2 linked regions of the Coturnix japonica genome follow. The protein of the gene in region 1 purifies or fractionates together with the protein of each later gene. This does not show direct contact. Links are inferred from orthologs where the notes say so. Each region holds a gene or a part of one and is shown on either strand. Other genes may lie near its edges. The genes, in order: EEF1A2 and EEF1B2.

Region 1 (17,634 bases):
TTCCTTTTCCTAGACTCTGTAAATTTAGCTCTCTGTCATTCCTCACGTCTACATCTCTCACATAATCCTTCCCAACCTCCTTGGCTTTTTGCCTCCTTCTGCACCCATGAGAACCAAAGACACACAAATCAAATTGCTGCCACCTCCGTGCTCCAGCACTTATCCCTTGGGATGAGACAGTGCCAGGACCCCATCTCCCCTCCATGGAGCCACCATGCCCTGTGTGGGGCAGCCCCTTACAGACATGGCTTAGAAGGGTTCCCATGGGCAGCACCTTCCAGTTTCTCTAAACCAACACACCATTCTTTGCAACTTACAGCTTAATAACAAACAACAGAACTAACCAGCCCTACCAGATCCAATAAACTTGGGGTCCAGCTCAGGACTGACTGAAGCACCCACAAGGACTGTAACTGAACCTGGGACCACTCCCCCAGGGCCCCGTGAAGTGCTTTGTTCCCATTCCAGCACCTGCCTCCCACCAACTTCAAAGCTGAATTGAAACCTGCATGAATATTTAGGACCTGGAGGTTGTCATCAGAAAGAAAAAGCCCATACTGAAATAGCTAACAAGGCTGACACATCTGTCTCATCTCAGATGAGCGGTACAGGCGCATGCTGGATTCCTCTTGTAGATTGTTCTGCAGCGATGAAAGAAGGAAAACAACACATCCAGCAAAAATAAATAGGCTCCAAATGGTACTGAGGCAAGAGAGGAGGGGACTTTCTGGGCTCTGCCCCACCTTGGTGGGCTGCTGTGGGGATGGAAAGGGGCATGGGGGCTGGGAGAGGATATGGAACCAAAGAGGATACAAATCCTGAAGTCTCTCTGGTGATGGAGATGGCAACCCAGCCACAAACCCATTTAGGCATCAGAAAATTCAGCCACGCTTTTCCATAACAAACCCATAGGATATTGGACCCCTTTGGTCCTGCTGCTTGAGAGCTTTTCCTCTGTGGGGCTTTCCTCTGGATGTAGCTGATGCTGCATTTGCAGCACGGCTTTTCCTGACTCCCAGCCTTATTTACATGCAGTCCCTGCTGTGTTCTTGCAACTTCATCCTGTGCTCTCCGGTCCAAAGGATGTTCCTGTCCTCTGGGCACCAGGCTGTGAATACAGAATGTCTCACTCAGCATCTCCCTGTGTGTGCTGACAGCATGCAGAGCTGGGGAGACTCATCAACCTGCAGCCGTGCTGGTAGCTGGGGCTCATCCTCCTCTTTTTGCCCTTCTTACAGATGACCCTGGCATACCCTGTCCTGCAGGCTGGCTGCTTCCAGGTTCATCAAACCTAAGTGCTCTTCTGGCCAGCGCTACAAAGAGCATTCAGCAGATAGAAGGCATGAAAATAGTGCCAGACAAGGGGAGATTGGATATAATTTAGACTAAGAAAACAGGCCAGCCTAAATTTGCAGGCAGGCTGGTACATGGAAGGACAGTTTGTGAATGAAGCTGAAACAAATAATCTGAAGGTGCTGCAGCATCTCTGTGTGAAGCAATGAGTTTTGGCTGCATGGTTTCAGAGAGTTTGAGGGGGGATCACCGAAGGCAGGTGGGTGCATGGAAAGAGCTCAGCCCTGGGCTGTGCTGCAGCTTGAGCTTCTGCTTCAGGTCAGCAATATTTGCATATGCAGTGAGAGCACAGGCTGAGAGAAGGACAGGACACGTTGCAGAACTCTGTGCCACCCCATCTGCAAAAGCAGCCCGGGCTCACGCTAAAAGTGCAGCTCCAAATGCAGTGGGAGGAGGATGCAGATTGAGGTGGTTAAAGGAAATGAGGAGAAAGTTCTAGAGACATAGGCCCAGGAGCAGAGCAGCTGCAGAATTCCAGCTGCACCTACATCATTCCCACATCTACCAGGGATGGGTCAGCAATGGCAGGACCAGCGATGGCTGCTGGGGATGCTGGAAGCATAACTTGGCTTCTAAAGGAAAAGGAATGGGATGGAAGGTCAGCCTGTAGGCCAGCAGTGCCCTGGTACTGTGCTTAACCTGCAGGTAAACCATAGCTGCTGCTTGAACCCACTGCCAAGTATGGAAAGGCAGCTAGAATTCACCCAGCTCAGCATCTACAACATGGGTTCCACTTGCAGTCTTGCAGCTGCCTCATCAATATTTTAGAGCAGCCCAAATGCCTGCTGAGTCAGCCAATCAGCTCCAGAAGCTTAATGAAACTCACTTAAATAATTAACAGCACACAGCCAGCCCAGTGGGTTCTCAAACACCTGATGGGCTGCACTATGGGAGAGCCAGCCCTGGTGCTCTCTGACTTACCTGCAACCTCCAGTCACTGTTGTTTCCCCTTTGAGCTTTAAGTTTTGGGTAACACAATTGTGTTTGCAAACTCCAGTCCCCAGAGAAACAGCAATAAGCACTTTGCAGCTCCCTGCTCTTGCTGCGGATTTGCTGTCAGGCAGGGCTTTGCAGCAGAAGGGCCATCATTGGTTTGCATCTCCCGTCCCTAATTATCTCTGCAGAAGGATTTCGTGTCTGTTACCACGAGATGGCATTGCTGAGGCTGGTACTGAGGGGAAGCAAGGAGGGCAGGGATGGGAAACGCCACCATTTAAAAATGAAATAAAAATGGGTAGATAGGAAAAAAGAATATCTGAGCTTTCAGTGAGGTCCCAGCACACCTGAGCACAGCAGGAAGGGGAAGTCAGTGTTTTAAAATGCATTTCCTCAGCACAGCCCTGTAACCTCATCATCATCACCACCTGACACAGGCAGCACCACACCTGCCTGCTTTATGCACGGTGCTGATGGCTCACCAATCAGCTTCTGTTTGCTGCAGGGCTTGCTGAAAACCATCTGTGGCCCTGTTCATGTTGGGCTGCTTCTTGTTTTGATAGAAGCCCAAAATGGGTCAGTCCCAGCCCAGAATAAGTGCACCATCCCCCTTGCCTCATGGGGTTGGGCAGTGATTTGCACAGCAGTGATTGACCAGGTCCATGATGAGTCTTTGTACCTGAGGTTTGGATGGTGGCAGGGTATGGCTTCGTTCTGCTCTGAGTCAAGACCCCCAGAAGTTTGGCATGCCTGATTTTTCAATCTTCTGCTTTGAAATGGGCCTACATCAGAACATTTTGGTTTATTTTGGCTCTCTGCAAAGCCCAAACCTCCCAAACCAGGCATCTCCCTTCAGGCCCCATATCTTCTTTCAAACCTTACAGTTTATCCAGGGTACCAACTGCACAGAAGTAGAGCTGCAATCTCGAACCTGCTGTGAGCCATGAGCTAATCTGAGTTAAACCCTCAAGGTTTTCAATTTTCCCTTTATGCAGCTACACCATTAATTACTGCACTGCTTGTGCATCACTCCCAGAGCATCTTCACAGCTCCCCTGCTATATTTCTATGGAAACATACCCATGGTTTTGTCAGGCTTGTTTTTGCTTTTAAAATAGCTATAGAGGACCAGGTTTGGACTTTGTGTTTGATTACGTCTCTTGCCTGACCCCAAGCTCCCCACTGCTCCAGAACCAGCTACTGTTGGGGACAGGAGAGCTGGAGGCACAGCACAGCAGGGACAACCCCATGGGAGCTCCTGTCCCCACTGCTAAAGGATGGGGGAAAGCTGTGCATCGGGTGAGGTTCTGCCATCCTGCTTGGAAACAGCAGTGGGTACAAAGTGGAACCTTGGTGCTCTGCGGGTGCAGTTTTGGGAAAGGCAGCACGGTGAGCTGGCACAGGATTGTGGTGACTTGGGGCTCTGCCTGGGGCACGCAGCACTGCAGAGCATCTGTTATTAACGAGATGCTCCTGCAACATAAACAGTAATGATCCTTCTGCCTCTGGGGTCCTCCTGGGAAGGAGCTGGCACAGTGCCGTCCTTCACCCTGCTTCCTCTGCCAGGTGGATGCTACTTCCCCTAAGTACTGCTTTAGAAGCACAGGATGATGCCCTGGTGTGCTGCCAGCCCCACCTTCAAGGAACAACCCTTGGAGATGCCCCTAGAGCACTACAGCACAGTGCGAGCAGCCCCTCACACCTCCTCTACCTTCACACTCAGCATCATAGAATCATAAAGGTTGAAAAGACCTCTAAGGTCATTCAGTCCAACCACCAACCCATCCCCACCATGGCCACTAAATCACATCCCACCCTTTGGTCAGTCTTAAGCTCCCCCCAGGTGCAGTCTCTGTTGTTCAGGTATCCTGTGCTCTGTGGGTAAACCTTCTGCTCTACACTTTTGCAGTGGGACCAGGACACAATCCTGGGTGGACACCTTGAATTCTGGGGCTCTGGGCAGCCATTGGGCACCTCTGCCCTCTGCTTATGGCTTCTTTTGGGTGAGAAAGGCTTTTGGGGGATCTGCTGCAGGTGGGGGAAGGAAATCTTTGGACACTTCTCCCAACATTATTAAATAGTATAAAAGTGATATCGCTAGCTTTTCAAGGACGCATGGGGTTGCTGTTTTCTCCCTTTAAGTGGAATAACATTAAGGGGTTAACTCCAGCTTATTCAGAATGGAAAGTATAATAATTAAGGGCCCTGTTAATTGATATTAGAGAGTTGAGCAGGTTAAGGAGAATATCAAAACCTCCACTGCAAGAGCAGTCCCTGCTTTATGTCAATGAAATGAGCCCATAAACCTGGTGAGAGCCAGGGAATGGCTGGTGTTGGGTGCCCATGGATGCTCCCATCCCTGGCTATGGCCATCCCAACATCTCTCCCACACAGACCCCAAGAAACCAGCCCCTCTCAATGACACACACACACACAGAGCTCCACACCTTTGGGGTTGGTTGGTTTGGTTTGGTTGTTGTTGGTTGGTTTGTTTTGTTTGTTATTATTTTCTTTTTTCCCACTGTGGATGTTGTACCAGTTTTATTGGTAAAATTAACATGAAGCCTCACAAACGCTGGAACATGCTTTTCCTTTTAAAGAATTTCCACTGGACCTTAATGGTGAGCATCCAGTCGTTGACATATAAACTCTTACAAGCTGATGTGCACACATGCGCCGGGGGGAGACGGTGGCAGCGTCCTGGTGTCAGGGATGGTTTCTGCGCTACGCACTGGGAGCCCACAATTCATTTCCCAGCTTTCTGGGCCTTCTGGGCAGACTTGGTGACTTTGCCAGCCCCGCCACTCTTCTTCTCCACGTTCTTGATGACGCCCACAGCCACGGTCTGCCGCATGTCACGGACAGCAAAGCGGCCTGGGGAATGGAGGAGGATGTGAGTGACATGACTGTGCCAGCCCCTGAAAGGTTCTGATTCTTCCCCTGATCAGTTTTGTGTCAGGAAGCTGAGAAACACTCCTGCATAGCCACTGTTGGGTTGCAGTGATTCCCAGAGGGAAAACCCAGCCCAGGAGATAGCCTGTCTCACCCACCCTAACCCAGCTCATGCATCAGATTTTGCAGATGGAGCAGCAATGGAACACATTCACCTCCCTCTGCCCCCCATCTGATCAGTGGGAGGTTCAGTATGACCAGCGTGAGGTCTGCACCCAAGCAGCCTCCATGCTCTTCCATGGGACACAACGCAGGAGCCATTCCCTTACCAAGGGGTGGGTACTGGGAGAAGCTCTCCACACACATGGGTTTGCCAGGAATCATATCCACGATGGCAGCGTCTCCAGATTTCAGGAACTTGGGGCCATCCTCCAGCTTCTTGCCAGAGCGTCGGTCGATCTTCTCCTTCAGCTCAGCGAACTTGCAGGCGATGTGTGCGGTGTGGCAGTCGATGACAGGTGAGTATCCAGCACTGATCTGCCCAGGGTGGTTCAGGATGATCACCTATGGGACACAACAAGATCCAAAGGGACTCGGCTATGGTGTCTTGCATAGCTCGGTGCCAGCAAGGACCTGCAAGGTTTGGAAATCAATGCCATCTCCTGCTACACACACAGAGAAGAGCTAATTGGCTTTCATGGCAGAATCCTTCTTTTGTTTAAAGTGTTACTTAAGCTATTATTTATTTATTCAGCACCCAGAAGGACATGGGTGCAGGTACCTCACTGTGAGTTATTACCTAGTCCTGCTCTCCACCAGAGCCAGCTGCATTTGGGAGAGGGAGCAACCATTTTCACATGCACCAGTGTGCAAATTGCAAACCCAAGGCTTAAACCCCAGGCAACCTCTAGAATGTGCATCTTTCCCTGGTGGGTATTCTGCTCCCCTAGGTTTTATCTCCTCAGTGTCAGCTGTGCAAGGCTGTGAGCTGCTGGATGTTGGGGACAAAATGGAATGGAGTGGAGTGGAAGGGTATAGAGTAGAGTGGAATGGAATGGAGTGGAAGCAGAGCAAAAGTGGAATGGAACAGAATAGAACTCTAATCAGCTGACCTGAGACGTGAACTGTGCTGCCTCCTGCGGCGGGTCTGACTTGCTGTCCCCACAGACATTCCCACGGCGGATGTCCTTGACAGAGACATTCTTCACGTTGAAGCCAACGTTGTCTCCAGGCAGGGCCTCGCTCAGTGCCTCGTGGTGCATCTCCACCGACTTCACTTCAGTGGTGATGTTCACAGGTGCAAAGGTGACCACCATACCAGGTCGCAGGATGCCGGTCTCCACTCGGCCCACAGGAACTGTGCCAATTCCTGCAAGGACAAGGAGAGATCAGAGCAGAACGTCACCCACGAAGCATGTGATGGGCAGCAGGGCATCTCCAATGGCTTTCAATTGACTCATCATCCTCACTGCATGAGGGGACAGGATGGCTATTTGGATGAATGGGACATTCTACACCTTGTGTCAATGGGAGATTTGTGGAAAATGCACCTTTAGATCAAGGTGAAGAAGCATTATGAGAAAAAAACCTGGAAAAGAAGCTGGTGGGATCCATCCACTATTCCACACCAACTCTATTGCCTTCACTTCCACCCTTCCCATAGTGTCTCTGCTTCCTAAGGACCTGCCTAATCCCTTGGCAAAACCCTGTCTTTCCCCCAGCTGGGGTGGAGGAGGATGCAGAGCTGCCCACCATCCCTCATCTCTGTTGCAAACAAAAGCCTGCATTAAAATGCTTCCTAAAAGCAAGGGAGCAACACTCAACATGGCTGATTTCTGCAATGCACGTGTTCTTTGGAAAGTATGGAAAGGACTGGAAATGGCTCTGCAGGGCTGCCCAGTGCTGCCAGCAGGACAGAGAGCGAAGGGATATTTAAAGCCCTGAGACGTGCCCACGTCACTGTCCATGTTCCCTAAAAGGCTGGTCCCGTGGTGCAGCTGGGCACATGAAGGTGCTGCTGATGGACACCAGCATTTGGGAGCACCAATGACCACAACCAAGCAAAATCTCATTCCTGGCTGGTCTCCAACTGGTTCTGCCAGCCGTGACCTCTGGGACACCCAAATCCGCAGCCATTTTGACATCATGTTCACTGAGAAGAGCTCAGTGCTATCATCTCAGGTCTCTGGGCAACTGGACACGTCTGCCTCCAACCCAAAGTCTCACATGGGGTCTCCACCCAGTTTTAATTGCAGTTCAATAAGTCCAATCCCTCCAGCTTCCCCGTGCCTGGAAACATCATCCCCAAATCCCTGTGGAAGGAAGGCTACAGTTAAAAAGAGTCACACTGATGGTAGCCCACCTCCAATCTTGTAGACATCCTGAAGGGGCAGGCGCAGGGGTTTGTCTGTGGGGCGGGTGGGGGGCAGGATGGTGTCCAGGGCCTCCAGGAGGGACACCCCGCTCGCGTTGCCTTCCTTGCGCTCCACCTTCCAGCCTTTGAACCAAGGCATCTGCAAACAGAATAGCAACAGTTTGCACTGAGTGTGCCTGTCCTCAACACCCTGAGATGGTCCCACTGAGGTGTCCCATTAGGACAAAATGTGTGGAGCTGGTTTAGCTGCAGCCTGGATTTATTTGGGTTTGGTAAGGTCTTTGCATTCTAGCATCTCTGCATATTCACCTGCATCCCTTCATCCAGCTCCATCCCCATTCTCCCTTCTCTTCTAGAAAGATGTGAATCATCCATGAGCAGAAGAAACTGGTTAAACCTTGCAAACCTGCAGCCTCCATTCCTAATGACAAGGTTTTGCCTTCCCACACCAGCCACATGTATTCAGCCCTATGCACATGGACTGCAGAGCCACTGAGTTTCCTCACAGCTGCTGAGAGGCAGAATGGTTTGTCACAGATTATTCTGCCCAGCATTGGATCCTTGGGTGCTACTTGTCGCCCAGTGCACAACATTACACATCAAAACCTTGCTCGTGTATGCCCCCAAATCCATTTCCCAAGAACCATAACTATTCCACAGCTCCATGGCAGAAACAGGGTCTGACGTAACACGGTCTGATAGGTTGTGTGTTAACCCTGTGTTGTCAGCCGTGGATGCTGCAAGCTCAAGCTCCCATCATTAACAGCTGAGCTTTAATTCCCATTGCACTCCATTTTACAAAGCAGTTTCTCCAGTTTTGCCTACTCTGTACCCCATACATGCTCATCTTCCATCACAGACTACATCATGGACAACATCCTCCCATGTAGGGCTGGCTCCAGCCCCATGTCCACACAGCCTGATGGGATGCAGCTGCAACACCACTGCACAAGCATAGAATCACAGAATGGCTTAGGTTGGAGGGGACCTTGAAGATCATCTAGTTCCAACCCCAACCTTGGCCGTCTGTCCCCTGTTGGATAGACAAGTCACCTGGCTGCCTCTTGCTGAGTGAAACTCAGCTGGAAATATGTGAGTGAGAATAATAGGAGCTTTTTTGGGGGGTGAGGATTAAGAAGAGAAAGATTTGCACTGGATTCCCACCCAAGCTTTCCTACAAGCAGTGCAATGTGGGGAGGTGGACTCTGTCCCCACAGATGTGGGAGGGGACCCTGAGGACCACATCATGGGATACAGAATGTCCATGCATCCTTTTAGCATCCTTTGCTTCCCTGGACCCCCAGCCCCACAGCCTTCCACCCTTATTCTCCCAGCCTCCCATCTGAGGAACGAAGTCAGTGAGGCCCATCCTACCCTGTGCCTCCCCTCTGCAGCCTATTAATAGCAAATTGTTCAGGATCATCTTCCCTGCCCAGCAGCTGCTGACATTTGGAGCCTGATTTGGAGGCACCCAGGAACTATGCAGCTGGGCTTGGTGTGACCACGGCTGACCTTATCCCAGCTCCACTGTACAGGGGAAAGGAATCTCCGAAAAAACCACTTGTTCCAAGCTATCCCCAAGCTTCTCATGAACTGTCTTCCCTGTGCAAGGCTGTGAGCTACAAGCCAGGTCAGTGTGAGGCTGCATTGCAGCACTCCTCTAACTCAGGCTCTCAATCCCAACCTCCCTTGGCTGTACTTGGACACGTTGCCTCCCTTCTTTCTGAATGCTGACCCCAAATCCACAAGTGAAGTCCTAAATCTCCCTGAAACGTTGAGTTTCCAGTTGCTTTCCCAAGGTACCACTGTGTTTCAGCACTGAGCAACTTGCTCAAGGTCACAAGACATTCTTTAGTCTTTAGAAGACTGAAGCTGGGGGAGCTTTTTCTCCAAAAAGAGATGTAACAACTGCTATTGGCATCTGTTCTGACAAAGAACCCCCATGCCTCCTCAATCTCTTCTTTCTCCACTGCCGTCATATGAAGAAATAGCACCCTATCGTTGCATCATCAGCACTGATACACAAAGGGAGAGGCCAATTTGGAATCAACTGGCCAAGGAGAAACCCTAAATGGATGCTCAAGGAAATCACAGTGCCTTCCCATGCAAAAATTGCCTTAAAAATTGGAGCCCCAGCAGTGGTACATGGGTGCAGCTGATACAGCACCAATGCAAAGAAGCATCCAATATGCAGCACATGTTAGCCCGGCTGTGCGGTGAGAACTGCTCCAACCCTGCAACCAGATCGTGTTGTTTGCCTGGAAAAACAGTGCCCTAAAACCACTCATGCTGTTCCTGCTGAGCATAACAATTGCTGTCGATGGCTCTAACATCAACACAGGTCTGACGAAGCAAAATTGTTAAATTAGATCCCAGGAGCACAGCCCTACTGATCATATGAGGCTCATGGAGAGCCACTGGGATGTCTGGTCGTGGTACAAGAAGCATGCACTCTGTGCCCATTCATCCCAGCACAATCACAGTGACATGACAAACATCTGCACCAGCAAAGCAGGCAGTTGCACATGATAGGTGCATGAAGCATGTCTGTGGCTTTCACAGCACCAAAGCCAGCCTGGATACAGACACTTAAAGTGGGGGAACAACACGACACATCACACACTTACATTGGGGGATGGCTCCAGCATGTTATCCCCGTGCCAGCCCGAGATGGGCACGAAGGGAACTGTGGCTGGGTTGTAGCCGATCTTCTTGATGTAGGCGCTGACCTCCTTGACAATCTCATCATAGCGTTTCTCACTGTAAGCGGGCTCAGTGGAATCCATCTTGTTAACACCAACGATCAGCTGTTTCACACCCAGGGTGTAGGCCAGAAGAGCGTGCTCGCGGGTCTGCCCGTTCTTGGAAATACCGGCCTCGAACTCACCAACACCAGCAGCAACAATCAGTACAGCACAATCAGCCTGGGAGGAGAGAGATGATGAGCTGCTGCTGTCCCTGAGAATGCTGCTCCTGGGAGCTCTGAGCATGTCCCAAAGGGAACATTAATCAGAACAAACATGCCTTAGGCAGATGCCTTGCCAGCTGCTACCCCAAACCCTGCTGATCTACCTCAACCCTGACCCGTGTTATTTTATTCTTGCCAACTGTGCATGCTTTTTGCAACACGTTGGACTACAAGATGGATCTTTCTAAGTTGTATGGATCTAATCAGGACCTCATCTTAACATCCCATGGATGCAGGGTCAAAGCCTCACCTCAAACCCCACCTGAAGTCTTTTCAGCAGTCTCCATGGTTGATGGAGGAACTCACACATCTTAATCCTGTCCTTGGTGTCAATGACAGAAGCTATCTGCATTTGGCTAAAGCTGGTCTCCAGGGGCATGCAGCAAGGCTCACCCAGTGCCCATGAATGGCTCTGGGATGCAGAAATGCCCTGCAGTACAGTATGGCAGGGGGAAGCTACCTTACCCTGGAGACACTCACAACATCCTGTTGATTCTGAGTCCATACTCATCCCCAGCTCATACAAGCAAGGGAAGTGCTGTAGAGAAAGCACTCCTTTTTGCCCAAATAAACCCTTTCCTCAGCATCCAGAAAGGGACCTAATGCCACCTCTTGCATGGACCCTGCTCACCACCACTCACTGATGCCACCTCAGCCTCCCACATCCTGCAGCTCCTGGCCTCCCGTTCTCACCTGGGATGTGCCTGTGATCATGTTCTTAATGAAGTCTCTGTGTCCAGGAGCGTCGATGATGGTGATGTAGTACTTGGTGGTCTCGAATTTCCACAGTGAGATGTCAATGGTGATACCACGCTCACGCTCAGCCTTCAGCTTGTCCAGCACCCAGGCGTATTTGAAGGACCCCTTCCCCATCTGGCCAAGACAAAGGTCAGAGTTGGTCAATCTCCCATAGCCATGAAGGCCAAGGGTCACATTGCAAACCCCCTGAAGTCAATGGCAGACATAATCTATATGTCAGTTCACACAGAGGAAAAGAGATATGGTTCTAAACACATTCCCCAGGAAGATGGAGAAGAGACTGGAAGCAGAGCTATGGAGAGGATCTGTGGTGGGACTGGATAAGAAGCTGGAGACCAGCAATGTCTCCTCCATGAGATGCCACAACCCTGCAGGGCTGCTGTGAAATTACATTGATACAGAATTACCCAGCAGTGCTGGAAAGCTTCTTGCTGTTGTATTTTAATCTTCTAAGTGAACACGAGACAGTTGGACAGAAGGAAAAGCCATTGCTAAGCGAGGAACCCCAAACTAATAGGATGTAGCAAGGGAATGGGTTAAAAGAAAATGAAATGCAAGAGGGTTGCTAGGAGCTGAACAGAAACGTGATTGATTTTTGCCACAGAGTGTGCGAATCTGCACGAAAAGTGACTGTGAGCTGCAGTCAGACCAACTGTCACTGCCAAATGGCCAAAATCCCAGCCAACATTGTCGGGTAGAAAATCACGCTGGGTGAGATGAGCCACTGCAAATCTCTCTGCCCTGCAATAAAGCACATGCCCTGGTAAAAACATGATGCCGCTTCCTTTGGGTCGGTGACTTTGATGCCACTAAGCAGAGCCAAACCTTCCCCAAGCTCTAAACAGGGATCCTGCACCGATAGGGGAGGACAAGCTCAGCCCTTCTCCACTGTGCCCCAGGACAGCCCAAGCGGACCAGAGGGTTAACATGCATCAATCACCAGATCTTGGCTGGAGAGGCAAGTTTTCTAAGGTAGAAAATAGAATTCAGCTAGAGAAATAGGTCATCTGCTGATGACGTAATGTGCTGTAACTGCCGCGCAAGGACGGAGGTGCTGTACCACAATCCCATGTCTGCAGCAGCGATTTCTTCTAGAGCATCAGTGCATAAAATTCATAATGGGCCACTATAGATCACCAGGCCGGAGGGAAATGCCTCTTGCTGGCAGGAGATGAGCGCTCCAGTGCTGCTCACAGGGGAGGATGCTGCAGCACTGGACCCAATGCACCCCGCCTGTACCGGGATGGAATCGCAGCCCTGTGCCTGTGCAGCACGAGGAATTAGCAGTGCCAGCCCCTTTATGTAACAGCTGAGCGCTGCGATGACTTTGCAGCTTGCTCGGGGAGGGGATTACAGCCAAAATCCTAAAGCCAGAGCAAACCTCCCCTTCCTCAGAGGGAGTGCTGGGTGATGCTGCAGCCCCAGTGGGCAGCCCTGAGCTGTGTGCCTGCAGGAGCAGGGGGTGGAAAAATCCAGAATCACATCTTTGCTCCAATATGGCAAAAGATGCAGAATGGGAGCTGGGAAGTTAACCCTTTCCAGCATGCACACCCACTCCCTCCCTTGCTGGTATCTAGGGCATCATTAGAGCATGCTAATTTACTGCCCAAGCCAAGATGAGGGTTAAGGAAAAAGGGATTTATTTTGTGCAGTGCATTAATAATGAGGAGCGCTCAGGCAGGAGCTCAGCTAGAGAACCCCAAAGCCTTTCAGCCATCAGCACTATGCTATGGGGTGGGGTAGCTGAGGCACAGAATAGGCCCCAGGTGCAGCTGGTTGTTGGGACTCACAGCTGATCCTAAAACCCAGGATTTTCTCATAGGAACTGCAGGGATCCATACCCAACCAAAAGCAGTCCATTCTGTGTACCACTCCCCCCCCCCCCAACAGAACATGCCATTGGACATAACCTAAAGACAAGTGAGATCCTTTATATAGCAAACAGCTCCCCTCCTTCCACGGGGTGTATTCAGTTACCCAGAGCTATTGTAGAAAAAAAACCCCACTGCATCATCTAGCATTGCACAATGCCTTCACTGTTTGGTGCCAGAACTGCCTGCATTTCCTCCACCAGACCCCAGCAAAGGGGCAGCTTCCTATTCGGAGATCACAAATACTGTTGGGTTTGGTTTATTTTCTTTAAAATAAAATAAATAAAATAAAGAGAGCAATTCCTCTCTCGGAGATGCTGTTATTTCTACCCTCCCAGCCATAAAGAAAAATAAGATCTTTCTTCTAAGGAAAAAGAAAATAATAATAATTAAAAATATCGGACCGTGTTTTCTGATAGCTTTTTTTGGGTGCACACAGGCCTCCATTTCCTGAGAATGCCACCTAATGGAAGAAAACCCTTCCCCAGCCCTGCATCAGAAAATGGAGTCGGTAAGCTCAGTCAATAGGCTATTAATAGCAGCTCCAGTCCCCGCATATTCTAGCAAGTCAGGGGAAATGTCTGCTCAATTAATGCAGCTGCAATTGCGTCCGTGATAACCTCATCGTGCCATACCTGATCTAAAGGTAAGGGGCTGGAAATATAGCAAGGGATAGCAGCTATGATTCTGTGATTCTATCCTTTTAACACGAAGCAAAGAGAGAGGATTTTATTCTAAGGAAGAGGCTCTGCTCTTAAGGGCTGCAAGAGAAGGCTGACAATGAGGCAGGAAAAGGGGTGGCGTAGCTCAGATGCTATTGGCACATTCAAAGGGTTCAAAGAGGCAGACAGCAAGATGTGCTATCAGGAATGGCAGCTCTGAAAGCTTCTTTTTCATTTTTCCTCTCTCTCTTTTCTTTTAAATAAGAGGTTTTGTCCAGCTAAATTAAGAGATGCCTGCATTAAAGATTTATGGAAGGTTCATGACACGATGATGGTGAGATCTCTTCTGACCAGACCCACCCCATGGGTAACACAACCAGCCTGCTCCTGGCTCACCCACCTCTCTAGAATTTACCATCACTTATTTCCCAGCTCTTCCCATTCACAATGTTCTCCTCTGTTCCCCAGAATGTTTATTCCTCTTTGATCTATGCCACATTATAGGTGCTGGGTGGTGCTTTACAGCATGAGTGCCCGAGAAATGCCTGCACTATGACATTGCTTCAAATGGCACCATTAGAGAGGCTCAGCAAAAGAATTCAACTTAAATGCTTATGCTCCATGCCAGCTTTCCTATACAGAGAGCTACCAATCAACCCCCATTAAGGGGATGGTTCTTTAGCCAAGTGGATCAAATCTGCACTCCAGCTGATGCTGGCTGCCCCATGATGCTGGAAGGGGATGTTACAGGGTGAAATTCATGGTCATGCACAGGGCAGGAAGGGATTTATCAGGTTTTCCTCCTCATGCACAAGATTTAGTGGGAATTTCACGCCCTGTAGCACTGTGGCTCTCTCAGAATCCTCGCCATTACTGCTGGTACCACAATCCATCTTCTAAATCCCCAGGTGGGGATCAGCACTAGGGGGTAAGCACCCCATGGACCAATGGGCCACAGGAGCTGGGAAGACTTGGGATGCAGAAGGAATAAAGTGATAGGAACAAAGGGAGAAAGGTACAAGGATGGCATCACAAGGGGCGTATTGCCCATGGGACATCAGCACGGAGCAGGGGACATGGCAGGGGACACTCTCCTCACCTCAGCAGCCTCCTTCTCGAATTTCTCAATGGTCCTTTTGTCAATGCCCCCGCATTTGTAGATGAGGTGCCCGGTGGTGGTGGACTTGCCGGAATCGACGTGGCCGATGACGACAATGTTGATGTGAGTCTTTTCCTTCCCCATGTTGGTGGGCTACGTGTGGAGGGCGGGCGGTGGGGGGAGCGCTGGGGATGCAGCTGTGTATATGGAGAGGCTGTAAGAGAATTAAAAAGGCAGCGTCAGCACAGCCTCCACGACAGCACTGCCAGCATAGACAGGGGTGCGTGGCCATGGCTCGATGGCTCTGCTCATGCTGGGACAGATCCAGCTCACCCCCGGAGGAGACTGGCCAGGCTATTTCTGGTCACCACGTCCAGCTTCCAGCTCTCAGCAAGATACCATGATTTTATCATCTGCCTTCCTGGAGACCCCCAGCTCCCAAGGCTACGTCATCGGTACCTCGAAGGTGCCCTTCCTCTATGGGGAAAAAAAAAAACCCAACCTTTCAATTGCTCTTCACTGCTGCCTTCTAGGTCTTTCCAAACTCTATTCCATTTCCAAATCCTCCATTTCGTGGGCACCCTGGGAGGAGCCATGGGTGCCCGTCCCTGTCCCCACTGGGTGCCTTCACCTCTTGGGTGATAACATGATGCCCAAATAACAGGATGGACAAAAATAGCCCTCTCACTCTGCCCTGAGCAGGGCTGCAAAGAGAGGGGCAGGGCAGCATAGCTGAGCCCGCTGTGGGGGATTTTGTGGTATTTTGCTGCCCTGAATCTGGATGAAACAGAGGGAGGAGGCTTAAAATGAAAATCAATAGATCTGTTCTGGCATCTCCCAGGGTTACCATGGTGCCACAGCCGCTACAGAAGCACTGCACAATTAGGAGCTTTAATTTGACGTCTAATAAAATCCAATTTTATGAAGCTGCCCATAGAAGCAAAACAGGTCGGGGGCAGCTTCCTGCTCTCACAGCGATTCGGGGGGGCGGTGATAGCCCCTCTGCCCCCGGCCTTCCTCCCTGCCCTTGAACGAGCGCAGGATCCGGCCATGGCGCAGCCCAGCGCAGGTGCCCGGAGTCGGCTGCGCTCCCTTCTGCGAGGGGGAAGCGGGGATTCCTTTATTTTCAGTAATTGATTTTTTTTTTCTCTTTTTTTTCTCCTTTTTTTCTTTTTCATTTCTCCCGACTCCCCCCACCCCTCCCCCTTTCTTTATTCTTAATTTTATTAGATATTCCCCTGCCCCCCCCACCCCCTCCCCGTTTCTAATTAATTTTCATTTCTTTTCACTTTTTCTCTTTTCTTTTCAAAGTTATCCTTTTCCTTTCCTCGAGCTTTCAGGATACAGGCTGCATTCCCACCTGCGGACTGAAGAAACGGCCCAACCCCATCCCTCCTCCATCCCAGGGGTCCCCCCCCCCCCATCCTCGATACCAACAGCACCCCATGTACACGCATCGTACCCCACCCCAGCAAACCCCCTCCTCCAGCAGGTTCCCCCCCCGTTCAAGCAGCCCCATCCCGGGGGTGGGGGAAATGGAGCTCTTACCGGAGCGGCGGTCGGGGCGGCAGAGGCTGCCAGCTTGGGCTCCGGCGGCTTTATCTCCCCGGGAGGGGCCCACCTATTGACGGCGGCAGCGCAATGCAGCGGCCCCCCCGCACTACGGCAATGCGGTACCGGGCGGGGGAGGAGGAGGCGAGCCGGGGGGAGGAGGAGGAAGAGAAGGAGGAGGAGAGAGCAGGGAGAGACGGAGGGGGAGAATTGGGGATGGAAGGTGTTTGGAAGAGGTGGGAGATGGAGAGGAGATGGGGGATAAAGGGATGAGAGGAAAATGGAGGGATGGGAGAAACGGGGGAAAGCTGGAGTAGAGGAAGATGTAAAGACTGGAGGTAAAGGGATGGGAGGAATAGGGGGAATAGAAGGATAGGAGGAAGGGAGGAGTGATGGAGGAGCAGTAGACAGCTGGGTGGGAGAGGTAGAAGGGTGGGAGATGGAGGGATGGGAAGAAATGGAGGGAGAGAGAAATAGAGGGTTAAGAAGAGTGGAAGGATAGGAGAAATGGAGGAAAGATGGAGAGAGGAGAATGCAGATGGGGAAGGATGAGAGGTAAAGAGAAGAGGAAGATGGAGGGAGGGAGAAATTGAACAACCAGAGGAAAAGAGGAAAGAGAGAAACGGAAGAGATGGAGGAGTAGGAGGTAAGGAGATGGGAGGAAGATGGAGGGATGAGAGAAATGAAGGGGTGGCAGATATGGAAGGATAAGAGGAATAGAGGGATAGGAGGAACAGGAGAGATGGAACAGTGGAATATGGAGGGATGGAAGGATGGAGAATGGGTAAGAAGGAGACAGTGGAATGGGAGGAAGGTGAAGGGATGAAAGATGGAAAGCCAGGAGAGCTATAGGGATGGAAGATGAAAGTGGGATAGGAAAGGATGGAGCAAATGGACAGATTAGGGAGGTGGAGGGCAAAGAGGAAGATGGAGATATAAGAAAGTACTTTTTATGAGTGGAAATGCTGTAGCTCGTCATCCAGGGGGATCAGGGCAGGCAAAGACCAACAGGGTCTTGGAACCCTCATGGCAACCTGGGGGTGAAGGGATGGAGTTGGTGTAGGCACAGAGCCCAGGGCTCCCAGCAAGTGAGATGGGGACAGGTCATTGCAGGGGCACACATGTCCCTGGGCTCAGTCCTGTGGGCACTGACCCACATTTCTGCCTCAG
Region 2 (13,897 bases), on another chromosome or scaffold:
TGCCCCAAATTATGCACTGCCTGTATGTTCTTAACATCATAAGGCAAAGTTCTTCAGGTTGCCTAGTCCACAAAATACTGACTAATTCCAAAGATAACAGGTTGAAGTGGAAATACAACAGAAGTCAAATTCTCCCCACTAATATTAGAAAAAGATGTCTTTCTCTATGTAGCTCCTGTTAACCGCTTCAACATGTCAAGCCCCAGAAATTAATTTTACATGCCATGTGTATTGAAATTGTTCTTACCACACCAGCAACACGAGTTAACACATCCTCCCATGAAGCGTAAGCAAAGAGTCCTTTCTCATTCTTGATCATGGGCTGAGTCAGCCTCTGACGCTTCAGACCATCATATGCAAACCTGAGCGAACACTGCAGATATTAGTAAAAGAGCAAAGACAGACAGTTGTGTATTTGCACACACGTGCAAATACCTCCCACACACCTTGTTTTGTCAGAGATCCATTCCTCATTGATATCTTCATGCAACCTGGGCAAAATTCTCATCACTTCTCCAGTCCTTGTGCTCACAACAATGTTGCTTCCAACTGCATCAAGAACATCAACGGACTCTACCTTCCTGTTCAGGAAAATAAACAAAGCATTTGCAGTTTCCTAAAGACTAACACCAGACAACTGCATATTAAGAAATAATCGAGCGCTCCAGGGTCAGCTTTAGATTCACAGTTAAGGGATTTCTTCCAAAGATATGTGGACATACTGTCAGATAAAGCATGATAGGAAAAACACAGCAAGTTGCAGAGTAAGCTGGGACCCACACCTTGTCTCCCATGGGCGTGCAGTAAAGGCATATGGCTTGGAGGTAAGGGCACCAACAGGGCAGATGTCAATAATATTTCCTGATAACTCAGACATGAACATTTTTTCAACGTAAGTACCAACTTGCATGTCATTTCCTCTTCCAGTTGTTCCCAAGTCATCTACGCCTGCAACCTCACTAGCAAATCTGGTGGACAAAAGAAGAGTGAAAAATAAATACGGAATTCTTAACAGCAACACAGCACGCTTCTTCAGCTCTTCCTGAAGATGAACATTAGTATTCATTCACATACCTGAAGAAAACTACTACTTAGATACATTCAGCAGTGCCACCACATGCAGGACCGTACATCTGCTGAAACTCATTTAGATGGGGCTACAAAAATTAGGTGCATCCAAGAGATGCTGCCTTAGTGGTGGTCAGCCCTTAAATGAGGTCTAGAGGAGGTGGAGTCAAGCTCCACCCCTTCAAGGAGCACAGCTAAATTACTCTCACCTGTGCTCCCACAGCTGACCCAACACTTGCCTCAGCTGATCACAGGTTCAGGCTGTGATTACCAGTTTCCCATACACCCTCACATTTCTTTAACAAGTAACAAAGTTACATAGATATTCCTGCTTAAGTACTCTCTCCAGTGAGAAATAAAGGACATTACCTTATGCATCGAGTGCACTGTATACACCGAGTCATGATTGTTTTGACTAATGGGCCAATGTTCTTGTCCTCAACAGCGCGTTTTCCCTCTCTAAATCTACTCCTATCACTGCCAAACATCATTGATTGATCCTAGAACAAACAACAACAACAAATCAAATACGTATCCAGGCTGCTGGACAGCACAATCCCACCTAAGGCAGGAACACTAACATACACCTACACCATCTGATTGGATGTCCTACCTGTAGGTCACATTCTCCACCCTGATCGCAGATAGGACAGTCCAGCGGGTGATTTGCTAGTAGAAACTCCATTACACCCTCCCTGTTGGGTTCAGGAATATTGTTAATATCCACTCCATACCCACCAGCAAACAGCACAAGTAATCAGCCACAGGAGGCTAAGATAAAGGTACCTTGCTTTCCTGGACTTCTCAGAATTTGTCAGTATGTTCCAGCCCTTCATAACTGGCATGGCACAAGCAGCTACTGGCTGCAATCATCATAAACAGCAAGTGTGAGCACAACATATTTCTTCTCAGTATGGGCATAAATCCCAGCCTCCCCCCCAGATTCTGACATAGGCACCTGTTATTAATTTAACACATCGCAGAAATAAAAAGTATCCACAACTACAAATAAAAAGAGGAAAATCTAACCAATACAGAATCATTAAAAGTCATACTAATAACTTACTATATAAAGTTAAATATTGGAGGTACATCATTTTGAAAGTCTCTAGCACTGAAGCCGAAAGCTTTGGATCCAGTGCATCATTTAGTTACCGAGCACTTACTTGGATACAACATTTCCCAAGAATCTTGGAATAAAACTTTTCACAAGATTACTGCAAAACTAACAAAAACTCCTGCCCACAAAATGAATCCTTCCTGCCTTCCACTCACCTCATGATACAGACCATCATTTCAGTCTGCAATGATACAAAACCACCAGAGATACAAAGCTCAAACTGTTGAATTCAAGCTGGTGTGAGCCGGAGAGTCTCACCTTGTGTCATGGTTTTGCACATATAAACCTATCTGACAATACACAGCTATCAAATGCTCATCTCCAGAAACAAGATAATCATAAGAAATTGAGTGACGGTTCACTAGCCTAAAAGTAGTGAATCACTGCAGCCCAGCATAACTTGGTCCTAATACATATATAACACAGAGATAAGCTTAGAAGTGGGAAAAGGGAAGATCTGCTTGAAATGGCTTAATTATAGGAATTTCTGTGCTTAACATTGGGCAAAACAAGCATTTACAGTATAAACTAGGCTCAAAGTACAGCAGAAAACTGTACTTCTTATGGAACATACACAGCACCTTCGGAGCCTTCTCTATTTCCACAAGGCACATCCTACAGTTTCCAGCAACAGAGAGACGGTCATGGTAACAGAAGCGTGGGATCTGAATCCCAACCTTCTCACAGGCCTACAAAGAATAAGGAACAAAGGGAAATTAAATACAGTTACATCATTCAGTAACACACAGCACATACAGCCAAGGGGTTTTTCAAAGAACAGCAGCTTTAGTGCTTTTGACCTTTCAATCTGACTAAGCTCTTTGCTATTGTAGGAATAAGCTTTAAAAACTGTAAGCAAAGAGTAATATGGAAGGTTACCAGTATGATTATTTCTCAACAGAAGACCTAGCTAAGGAAACAATGTTTCAATTCCTCCTCAAAGTTTAGGGAAAACTTTTTAATAGATAGGACACCAGAAGCAAAAACAAAGTTTTAAAGGAAAAACGGACTTTTGGAGAAGTACATAAAAAAGGAAAACACCATTTTGAGCTACAAAAGCAGCAGATGATGATGCTCAGTTCAGCCATTAAACAGACAGCTGCTGCAGCTACTAGAATGCGTAACATTCGTAGCTTATGGAATTTGCCATAGCTGACAGCATTCAGAGCTGGAACTTCAACCAGAACTTATTTAAGCCTTGTGCATATTAATTCAGCTTTGTAGACTGGATTCAACACGAAATTGGAGGCACTCAAGGCCAGGCTGGACAGGGCCCGGTCAGCCCGATGTGAACACAGCAGGGGTGGAACCCGGGTGGGCATTCAGGTCCCTTCCAAACAGAATCACAGATCACAGAATGACCCGGGTTGGAAGGGACCTCAAGGATCATGTAGTTCCAACTCCCCTGCCTAGCACGGCCACCAAACACACACCTTTACTAGATCAGGTTGCCCACAGCCCTGTCCAACCTGGTCTTGAACACCTCCAAGGACGGGGCATCCACAACCTCCCTGGGCAGCCTGTTCCACTAACCACTCTCCTAGTGAACAGAACTTCCCCCCTAACATCCAACCTAAAATCTCTCCCTCTTCATTAAACTTAAAACCAATTTCCCCGTCCTGCTATTATCCGCCCTTCTCGAAAGATGTTTACTTCCCATCCTGCGGAGTAAGTTCCGCTTCAGCTATTGAAAGGCGCAATGAGGTCACCCCGCAACCCTTCTCTTCTCCAGGCTGAACCAAACCCAACTCCCTCAGGCCTCGTCCCTCGAAGGGCGCAGTGCTCCAGCCCCTGATCATTTCCTGTCACCTCCTCTGGACCCTTTCAAAATCTCCATGTCTTTTTTGTACTGACGGGCTCCACACTCTGAACACAGTACTCCAGACTGCGGCCCTCACACAAGACGCAGAGTAGGAGAGGAGCGGATCGACCTCCCTTCCGTGCTGACCACCCTCTCCGATGGCAGCCCAGGCATCCCATTTGCTTTCCGCGGCTCCCGAGCGCACATGCTGGCTCATGTTGACGTCTCTCGTCCACCAGGACCCCACGGTCTCTTCTCAGCCGAGCCTGCTCTCAGGACACTTACCCCAGCCGCTGTAAAGGTGCTGGGGTTCTTCCGACCCAAGTGCAAACCCTTACACTTTGCCGTGTTAAACCTCATTCCGTGATTTCAAGAAGAGCTTCTGCAACCGAGAGCCCGAACGCTGCAAAGCTCTGAGCCAGAGCTGCAGTAAAAGCTGGCCGTGCCGGTGCCCGCACCTGCAGCACTGTGGTTCCGGGGTCCACCAGCACGGGCTGCCCGTCCACAAACACCTCGATCTGGTTGCTGGCTGCCGTAGCGGTCGTGCGGCCTGAAAGACAGCGGAAAGCTTTTCGTAGCAAACCCTTCCCCGGCTGTTGGATGCGGTCGGGCAGAGCCCACAGCCCTCACGGTCACACAGCACCCATGTCGCTCCGGTTCCGTTCAAAGCCAGCACCCGCCCGGAGGACGCGGGCCGACACTTACCGTGCACAGCAGAGGCCGGTGCGGCCGCAGCAAGAGCCCTGCGGAGTGCGGGCAGGCGCAGCATGGTGCCCTGCGGGAGAGAAGCGGCGCGGGTGGAGCGGCTGGAACGTCCTCTCTTCAGCCTCCAAACAGGCCGCAGGGGTCACCTTGCAGGCGGCTCCCGCCGGCAGCCCCCGGCCCCTTCACGGCACTAAGACGGAAGGCGGGACGAAGGCGCCGGGCCCACGGCCGCAGCCCAGCGCCTCACCTCGCCGAGCAGCCGATCCGTTACCGGCGGGCACCGGGCGGCCGCTGCGCACAGCTCGGCCTTACCGTCCGCCTCAGCCCCTATGGCGACCGCCTCGGCTCTTTCCGCCGCTACTTCGGCAATCTCCGGGAACGAGCGGCCAGGAGAGCGCGCTCGGCAATTTTCGGAACGGGGCTGTTCGGGTTGTTCCGCTAGGATGCGCCACTCGGCGATTTCCGCCACTCGGCAATTTCCGCCACTCGGCAATTTCCGCCACTCGGCAATTTCCGCCGTTCCGCCGAGCCCTCTCGGCCACCGTCACACGCGGCGCTTCGGCCAGTTCCGCCTGCGCCGCTGCCGCTGTCATCATCCAACTCCGCAACTTCCGCTGTCGCAGCGTTGCGGGGGGAGACGATACGACCGGGGGTGTTTGTAGCAGCAGTCCGACACTGACAGGGCTCCCGAAACACACATCGCACCGTAACCCAGCTCCGCTGCCATGACGCCCCGTTTCCAGCAGGTTTTGCCCTGGATCGGCACCCAGCCTGCCGGGAACTATTTCGGCACTTCCTGGCGGAAGGATACGTGTGCGCGCGATACCGCGGAGGGTTCTGCCGCTATATAAGGCGAGCGCAGGGGTCGCTGGGCCTCTTTGCTTGGCGGCGGGCTGTGGCTGCGGTGTGGTGTTGTGCGCCGCTGCCGCCATGGGCTTTGGGGATCTAAAGTCCGCCGCCGGCCTGCGGGTCCTCAATGATTTCCTGGCCGACAAGAGCTACATCGAGGGGTGAGGGGCGGCGGGAGGGAGGAGGGCTGGGCCGGGCCGACCCGTGGTGAGGCCCGACGGGGAGCAGCGGGGCTGCCCTGGGACACACGTTGTGTAACCCTCGGGTTGGGCGCCTTGTGTTGAGCGTGGGGCTGATCTCCGCTTGTTCCCGCAGGTACGTGCCCTCCCAGGCCGACATAGCGGTGTTTGAAGCCGTCGGGGCCCCGCCTCCTGCCGAGCTGTTCCACGCTCTTCGCTGGTACAATCACATTAAGTCGTATGAAAAGCAAAAGGCCAGGTATGATTGAACCACGGAATGAACACCCGTGTGAAGTGCTGCGCCAACTGTTGGATGTTTCTGAGCTTGGAGAGAAGTGGCTTTTTGCTGGTCCTGTGTGGCTTCTGGGAACAGAAATGAGTCCAGGAGCAGAGCAGACCCGTTGGGGCGTTATGGGGCCGCTCAGAGCTGAGGAAGCTGAATTTGCCTTTGTGCAGATTCTATGGGGCTCCTGTAGAAGCTTACAAGGAATCCTGGGTCTTGTTGCTGCCTCCTACTCTGTGCTGAAAGCTGGGAATCACGTAGTGCTGACCTGCTCCATAAGGGCAGTATCAGACTTAGGAACTATGGGAGAAACCTGAAGACAATAAGGAAGGAATTTGTTCAGATTTTTAATCTCAGAAGGTGAGGCTAAATTGAAGATTGATGATGTAAAAACACTTGTAAAGAAGGGGGACTATAAAAGCAAATGCTCTCTCTTCTCTTTTTTAGTGATTTTAGTGTTTATGAAAGGTGCTGTATTGACATCCATGGTGACTGCAGGCCTCTCTGGAAAGGTACAGCACAGGTAGTGTCAGTTCTGCTGCACTGCCTCCTCTGTGTGCCTCCCTCCTGTTCTGGAGGGAGCTCCTGTGAAGTTGGGTGGCTCAGACACCGCTGCTCTCAAACCCAAATGGGATGATAAACTGAGATGATAAAGTCTCCTCAAAAGGCCCACTCTGAAAACTTAACCTAATTACTGAAAATTAGATCTAATTTTACAGTTTTTGTAACAGCAGTTTTTTAGTAACAATAGGAAATCAATAGGATTTTGGTCCCTTGTGAGCTATCCACATGTTTTCTGTTACTTTTAATTTAAACAAATGAAAATATTTTTAGGGTAAGAAATTGATAACTTCTCATACACAAAATACATTGGAGATTCCATTATGGAAGTTCTGTTATCCATTTGTCTCACAGGGCAGCAGAATAACACAAGATCCATCAGTGATTAGACAGGCAATCTTTGTAGGATTTGCTGTCGTTTCAACTGAGGTGTTTTTAGAGGCATTTTTTTGGGGAAGGTTTTCAAGTAGCAAAATTAACCCTTTTTTCTTTATCTCACTGTTTTTGCTATGAATGTACTTAAGAAGGACAATGAAGTAGTATATCTACAAATAAGTAATTTCTTAATGCCTGTTTTCCTTTAGCTTACCAGGAATAAAGAAGGCTTTGGGGAAATACGGTCCTGCTGATGTTGAGGACACAACAGGTGCAGCCACAGATAGCAAAGATGACGATGACATTGATCTTTTTGGATCTGATGATGAAGAGGTATTGGTGCTTTTTTTCTCTTTTAGTATTATTCATATGTATATATTTAAGAACCAATTGGACAGGCAAGTGTTTACCTTACTAGTTTAGGTTACTTTAATTTGTGACCTTAATAACAGATACTGTTCAGGATCTCCAGACTCCAATGTCTTTGTAGGATGTAACATACGAACTCTCCATTAGAAAGAAATACAGTGTGTTGAAATGTCTGCTGTGACTGGTTACATGATGAATAAAACAAAAATCACCATCTTTCGGCTGACAGCTGTGATGATTTGTTTTTTCCTGATAGATGCCAGTCAATCTAACAGTGCTTTAAAGATTTGGGGGGGATTGGTGCTCTTTTGTGACTTCGTATTTCTCTTTCAGGAAAGTGAAGAAGCGAAGAAACTGAGGGAAGAACGCCTGGCACAGTATGAATCAAAGAAGTCCAAAAGTATGTGTTTGAGTAACTTTGACCTTGTTATGCATTTAAACAGGATGAATAGAAATAGTGTTTCTCTATTACAGACTTACTGGAATGAAGCAGAAGTGGTTTGCTTTACTTGAGTTCTGTGAGCTTAACCTTTCCTATAGCAAATCATTGAACATTAGCATGCTTTTTGTCCTGCCTATTCTCCTTTTGTCTTACCAAAGGAGCAAGCTTTTTCACTACAAAAAGAGAACCCTAGGGTTTTCTTGAAATAAAACAGATGCAAAGTAGTATAAAACACATCTGTGTAAGAACTCCAGCAGACTGACCTAAGGAGGCCGATCAGTAGTTGGTGAGTTAAGAGAGGAAAGGCTCTTGCATGCAGGTCCCTCCACAGTTACTGGCCTGAAACTGTTCAGGACTGTAGCAGTTGCAGTATTCCCTCTGTGGAAGACAAACTGTTACGTAGTATTAAGCACCTTCTCAGATCCTCTAAGAAGGACTTTCTACGTAACAAACAATGTTAGCTTATGTTCTCTTTTCAAAGTGTTTTTCAAAAACAGGCATCTACATCTTAAACATCAGGATATATATTTTCAGACCCCTTAAAAATGCATGTTGGTACAAGAGGACTGAGTTATGAGGGGTTTTTTTGTTTTTTTTTTTTTTAAGTCGTGTGAAGTTATTTGTAAGTATATTCTTGAGTTCCTGAAAGTTTCCTAGCTGTTAATGGTGTCTTTCCTCCTTTTTTTTCCCTTAGAACCAGCTGTTGTTGCCAAATCATCGATCTTGCTTGATGTGAAACCTTGGGATGATGAGACAGACATGGCCAAATTAGAGGAGTGTGTTCGAAGCATTCAAGCAGATGGCTTGGTCTGGGGGTCTTGTAAGTAAAATTCTAAGTGGGGAAAAGGGTGATCACGTGATCTGTTGGGGTGCTGTATGAATAAGTAGCCTTAGGATTACTGTTTGTCCATCTGTGATAATGTAGGTAGCTAAAATAGTGAGTTAACTGCCATGTTACATAGAGTATGTATAGTGTGAGCTGTGCGTGTGTGGTGTTTGGTGGACTAGCACCCACTAAATAGCAAACTGATAGGTGTTCTTTGCATAATTTCACAAGAGTGATGATTTAAAAAGGGCTTAGTCAGAAAGCTGCTAGGGCAGCAGCAAGGCTAAGATTCAAAGAAACACCTTTTAGGCCAACTCCATTAATGCTATCAGCTGCTTACATCTTTCCATTTTCAAGTGAGGAGTGTGTAATGCTTTTTTGTTTTGTTTTGCAGCCAAGCTAGTACCAGTTGGTTACGGTATCAAAAAGCTTCAGATTCAGTGTGTTGTTGAAGATGATAAAGTTGGAACAGACATGTTGGAAGAAAGAATAACAGCTTTTGAAGATTACGTACAATCAATGGATGTAGCTGCTTTCAACAAGATCTGAGTCTTCATATATTTAGAATAAAAATAATTGCAAAAATTGGGCCATGTCTGTCATTAATTCAAAGTCATAGTGCAATCCAGTTTGTTAATGTAAAATTTGACTGATGGGTAAAGTAAAAGCTAATCAATTGGCTTTTAGGATTGTTCCAGCGCTGTGGTATTTAGTGCCAGAGCAAAGAGAGAGCTGACAGTTGCCATATGTCTAGGCTTAACATTTACATGGCTTTAAATATCTGAAATGCCTTTTCCTCTATTTTAAGTGGAGTTGCATCTTTGGCTACTTGTAATTAATCTGGCAGGAGAGGTGGCTTTCAGGGAGAAGCACAGGGCTGTAGCACTTTAAGAGAAATAGAAGTTTTGTATAGAAAGGATGATGAGTAACCAAATAGTTGTATGGTGGCTTTATTCTTCTGACAGCTGCAGTTCAACTGTCACTTAGGAATGAAGACAAAGATAAGGCAGTTTATAGCAATGAGGACTGCAGAGCATTGGAGATTGTGAAGTGTACTTAATGTGACTGAGACTGCCAGGGTAACTTCTCACCATCTCCTATTGTGTGAACCTGAGATTTTTTTTCTCCTAAAGTGTTTAAAAAATAGAAATAACCTCAAGTTTGGCTTTTTTTGTGTGTGTGTGGGGGGGAGAGGAGGGACGTGTCTTACTCAGTACTGCATAATTCCTGCTTCAAGACCAAGGCCTTGGTGTGCCTTGAACTGCAGGCCAGCATTGGTTTTTAACCTTGAGTAGCAGGATCGAGATCCTTGAGGTGCAATTAAGGTACAGTTCACTAGAGGGCGGTGTGTTCCTTCAAGAAGACCGAGGCATTGGAGGTCTAACGGTGCCATGTGCTTGAGTGAGGTTTAATGGGGCGCAGTGGCTACAGTTAATGCAGGCGGATAGTACTTTGTTACTCTGTTAAAATACAGCTTGCTACAGTGTCACCGTGTATCTTAGAGTGTATGTAACCTGTAACAAGACCAATAGTAGGTTTGAGATCTTAAATATAGTCTTCCCATGCTCCTACATGACTATAAAGATCTCAAACCTACTATTGATCTTGTTGTGCCTCTTTTTGAGAAGGGCTGCCAGTTGCCACTCTATTGTTAAAGCAACAGGGTTTTAAGGAGACTGTCAGAAACACTTGAGTGCAATCTGAACAAGAACAAGCATTATGAAGCAGGGAAGAACAGAATCTGCTGCAGTTGAATTTTGTTGGTTTTTTTCTCAGCAGTATCTCATAGGAAAATCAGAGTGCCTTTTTTTCATCGTAGAGCTTTGAATGAGCATTCTTCTGTCCAAGCAGTGTAGGAGAGTAATTGGGCTTTTTCAGTTATTCTATGGAAATGGAAACCAAGGATGCTGTCTGTTCTGATTAGGTATCTTCATTCCACTTGCAGAAATGAGTTGGATGGTGGCAACTATGTTGCTGATGTTGGTATGAAGGAGGTAGCAATCACCTTACAAAGTTGGTAGGCCATTTTTTTCCACAGACCAGGACTGATGTTGGCCAGATTCTTTATTATCTAGGGGAGGCTTTTGGTTAAGGTGGTGGTTAAATGTTGGCAGTGTTTTGTTGCTTTTTTTAATCCAGAGGGGTAATCCAAGCAAAGCTTTGTAGAGCATTTTCTGACGATGTACACAAGACAAAGCAAATGTAAAATCTTCTTCTTTGAAAATAAAGCTCGTTACTGTGTGTATTTGTCCTCATATACCTAATGTGCATGAAGAAAACTGAATAAACTTTAATTCCTGTGACACAAAGGTCAGGGTTTTCTTTCATCTTTCAGGAACGTCAGTATGGTGCTGTTCTGTGAACAGTCACAGCTTAGTTGCTGCTGAGAAAAGTAAATGAATGTGTTCTTCAGGGCTAATAGAAATTTATTACTCCACTTGGAGCACAGTCAGGAAAGGAAGCATTAAAACACATCATTCTTAGAAAGATGTCAAGGAACATTTTTTTTATATATATAGTGGGCTGGAGTGAAATATACTTATACTATAAGGAACCTCCCCCTCCCTTCCAAATAGTTTAAAGATATACACTGCTACAAATTATTTCAGAGTTATTTGTCCATGAAGTAACTAGGGTAAGTGTATGTTATTCCAATCCATTATGCATCTTAACTTTATAGTAGGCTTGACCTTTTGTTTTTATGACACAAGGTGACTATTTGTGTTCACCCCTTCTGAAAGCTGCCAGGACTCCTGCACCAGTGCCAACCCACAAGGCTGACCCCTGTGGATGCACCACTTGTATACGTGTAACTCTTTTCCCTCAACTAACAGGTAGGTCTTGGCAGATTGTGTTACATTCTGAAATGAACATTCTTAAATGAACATACATAGCGCAGCCTCACACAGTCTGTGCCCAATAACGTGTTACCTTTACAGAAACAAGAGTCTGGAAGCAGTTAAAAGCACTGTTTGTAATTCATCTGTAGCTGTCAGGAAACTTTGCTTTCTAGACAGAGAGGAGATGGGTAACTTGAGGCAAGCATGGCTTCTCTTTTCTTTGACCTGCCAGAAACTGTGACCAGTGCATTAAGCTGTTAATTATGAAGTTGCACTTCTAACAGTCAAGGGGAGGACTGGAAAGAAAATCCTTGAGAGGCAATAGCATTTGCAGACAGCTTTAAGGGGCTGCATGAGTAGGAAATATTGGCTTTGTTTTTTTGTTTCCAACAGAGTCACAATCAGGCATCAGTAACCGGAGTCCTTTGTTTGCACTTCAGAAGTGTCACTATGTGCTTTAGCCCATGGCCTGTAAGTTTGCGTAGTTAGCGTAAGTGCTCTTGTGTGTTATGCATGCTCCTTACAGAGGTAGTGGTACACAATTATGTAAGCTATGTTAGGCAGAACATTGCTGTTCCCAGGCTACCTTGGTTGTTATAACTTCCTTGGTCACGGCCGGGATGCCACCCAAGGCTCAGATGTCAAAGGATTTTAATTCTTGTTTACCTTTTTTCCAAAAGGCAAATGATTATTACACGCTTTCCTTCACCCCAAAAGGGAAACCAAAGGCAGTAGTTTAACCTGACAGTGTCTTCAAATGTGTAAGATAAGAGACAAGCAAAGTTCTTGTAGAGAAATTCAGACTGATTAGAAATATTGTTAAAGGATCCCCATGTTCCTTTTTTTACAGTTTTTTAAAACAAGCATTATAAAATAATAAAATAATGTCTTTGTGAAAATTTATCAGTAGAGGAAAAGTTGTACAATAGAATTGAAAAATGACACATCTATTAACTATATAAATTTAAAAAGTGCATCATGAAAACAGAGAAACCAATGGTGCTGTCTCTGCTTTCCTGTTTCATATCCCTTTCTGAAATCTGTCAGCACCTCTGGAAATTATTTTGGTATTTCAGACTAGTTTTTTTTTTGAGCAATAAGGTTATACCATTGTGTGCATTTTTAAAGCAACTGCTGTGGAAAGGCACTTTTTTTTCTATCTTTCAGATTGTTCACAGATTTTTGTTTCTACTATTTTTGTGCTTATGAAGTGTCCTTAGAAGCATTTGTGTTGTTGATTTTGAGCATGCTCAGTATAGCTGGCTAATAAGTTCACAGAAGAATTGTTAAGCTATACTGGAATTCATGGGTGCTGTAATTTTCTACATTGGTCCTCCTGCTGCTTGGTACCGTACACAGCTCGAGGGGCTCATACCCATCAGTGGCGCACAATGCGTGCAGACAGTCATAACTCCCCAGCCGCTACTGGAGATAGGCAGGCAGGCGCATTCTCTGCTTCCTGGTAGGGTGCATATGGGAGCTGGCACAGTGCATGCTCCCAGACGACAGCAATCAGGGAACTCCACTTATCTCCTCTTTTTCTTTCCCTGCAAAACAGTTCCACTGGTGGGTGACAGTTCTGCTTTTTTCTTCAGTTCTTTCAGCACAGGTGCCTCTGGGAGTTGCATTTGGCAGAGCAATGTTATGAGTGCAGGTTTTTCAGAGGTGTTTGAGCCTTGTTCTTTTTATTTTCCTGTGCCCAAGTTCACTTACGCAGTATCTCCCATGAGACAGTAAGTCCATGCTTAATTTTGCAGGCTGCTAAAGAGCTTGCTGGGAGACAGAAATTGAACACCAACTTTACAGCACGAAGAATGAGCTTCAGCAAAGGTGGCACCCTTCTAAATACAACTTCCTTCATTAGTAAGTAGTCAGATAGAAACATAGCAAGTGTTTCAGGTGAGCACTGAAATGTGGATACAGAGTGGTTTGGAAAACCTGGCTGCCTTTTCACCTTGTGAGACCTGTTGACATAACTTGCTTTTCCGGTGTGTCTACTGTTTTTATGACAGCAAATATCTATGCCTTATTTACAAGTAAGCTATTTTTGCCCTTGTGCACTGGTCTCTGAGTTCTACCATTTTCTCTGCTAAAATCATCAGAAAGCAAAGGAGACAAATTTCAGACATACAGCAAGATGCTTCTTGCTGCAGAACATGGGGCTGTAATCTTTTTGGCACTACTAAAATGAATAGGTGAAAGCCGAGCTAGCATACTCTGTACACAAAGATAGCAGATGTTTTCATCCTAGAATGCTGAAAATGGATAGCTGTAATTACACGTGTATGTACCTTTTGACTCGTAATGTCAGAGAAAGCCTTGCTTCTGCAGGAGTTGATGAGTGCGGGTAATGGCATTCTGTACTGTTTCAGTGCCTGTTCTTTCCACTTTCCTCTCTGCCAGACAGGCAGGTAGCAGGGCCAGCCTTCTGTTTTGTCTTTCTAAACAGGAAGGAGGCACAAGTCCCACAGAAAAGAAA

The links.
Region 2: the proteins of EEF1A2 (region 1) and EEF1B2 purify together in Homo sapiens (co-immunoprecipitation; 4 studies listed by BioGRID and IntAct, counting the BioPlex papers as one, with this or other methods). This does not show direct contact. The link is inferred for Coturnix japonica from reciprocal best matches to the Homo sapiens genes EEF1A2 and EEF1B2.

Annotation. Positions count from the first base shown.
Region 1 is NC_029535.1:8,077,431-8,095,064, forward strand, and holds EEF1A2 (elongation factor 1-alpha 2), read right to left. Parts: upstream 17,154-17,634; 5' UTR 16,462-17,153; intron 15,128-16,461; 5' UTR 15,058-15,127; coding exon 14,914-15,057; intron 11,396-14,913; coding exon 11,216-11,395; intron 10,479-11,215; coding exon 10,182-10,478; intron 7,694-10,181; coding exon 7,543-7,693; intron 6,550-7,542; coding exon 6,293-6,549; intron 5,745-6,292; coding exon 5,510-5,744; intron 5,163-5,509; coding exon 5,035-5,162; 3' UTR 4,813-5,034; downstream 1-4,812. UniProt on the Homo sapiens protein: Translation elongation factor that catalyzes the GTP-dependent binding of aminoacyl-tRNA (aa-tRNA) to the A-site of ribosomes during the elongation phase of protein synthesis.
Region 2 is NC_029522.1:11,924,125-11,938,021, forward strand, and holds EEF1B2 (elongation factor 1-beta), read left to right. Parts: upstream 1-5,518; 5' UTR 5,519-5,624; coding exon 5,625-5,704; intron 5,705-5,858; coding exon 5,859-5,981; intron 5,982-7,150; coding exon 7,151-7,274; intron 7,275-7,491; exon of another isoform or gene 7,492-7,573; intron 7,574-7,643; coding exon 7,644-7,710; intron 7,711-8,075; exon of another isoform or gene 8,076-8,209; intron 8,210-8,446; coding exon 8,447-8,572; intron 8,573-8,972; coding exon 8,973-9,127; 3' UTR 9,128-10,819; downstream 10,820-13,897. Other genes in the region: NDUFS1 (NADH-ubiquinone oxidoreductase 75 kDa subunit, mitochondrial), read right to left, coding at 248-362, 447-581, 783-968, 1,438-1,568, 1,682-1,763, 1,855-1,931, 2,770-2,877, 4,448-4,539 and 1 more. UniProt on the Homo sapiens protein: Catalytic subunit of the guanine nucleotide exchange factor (GEF) (eEF1B subcomplex) of the eukaryotic elongation factor 1 complex (eEF1).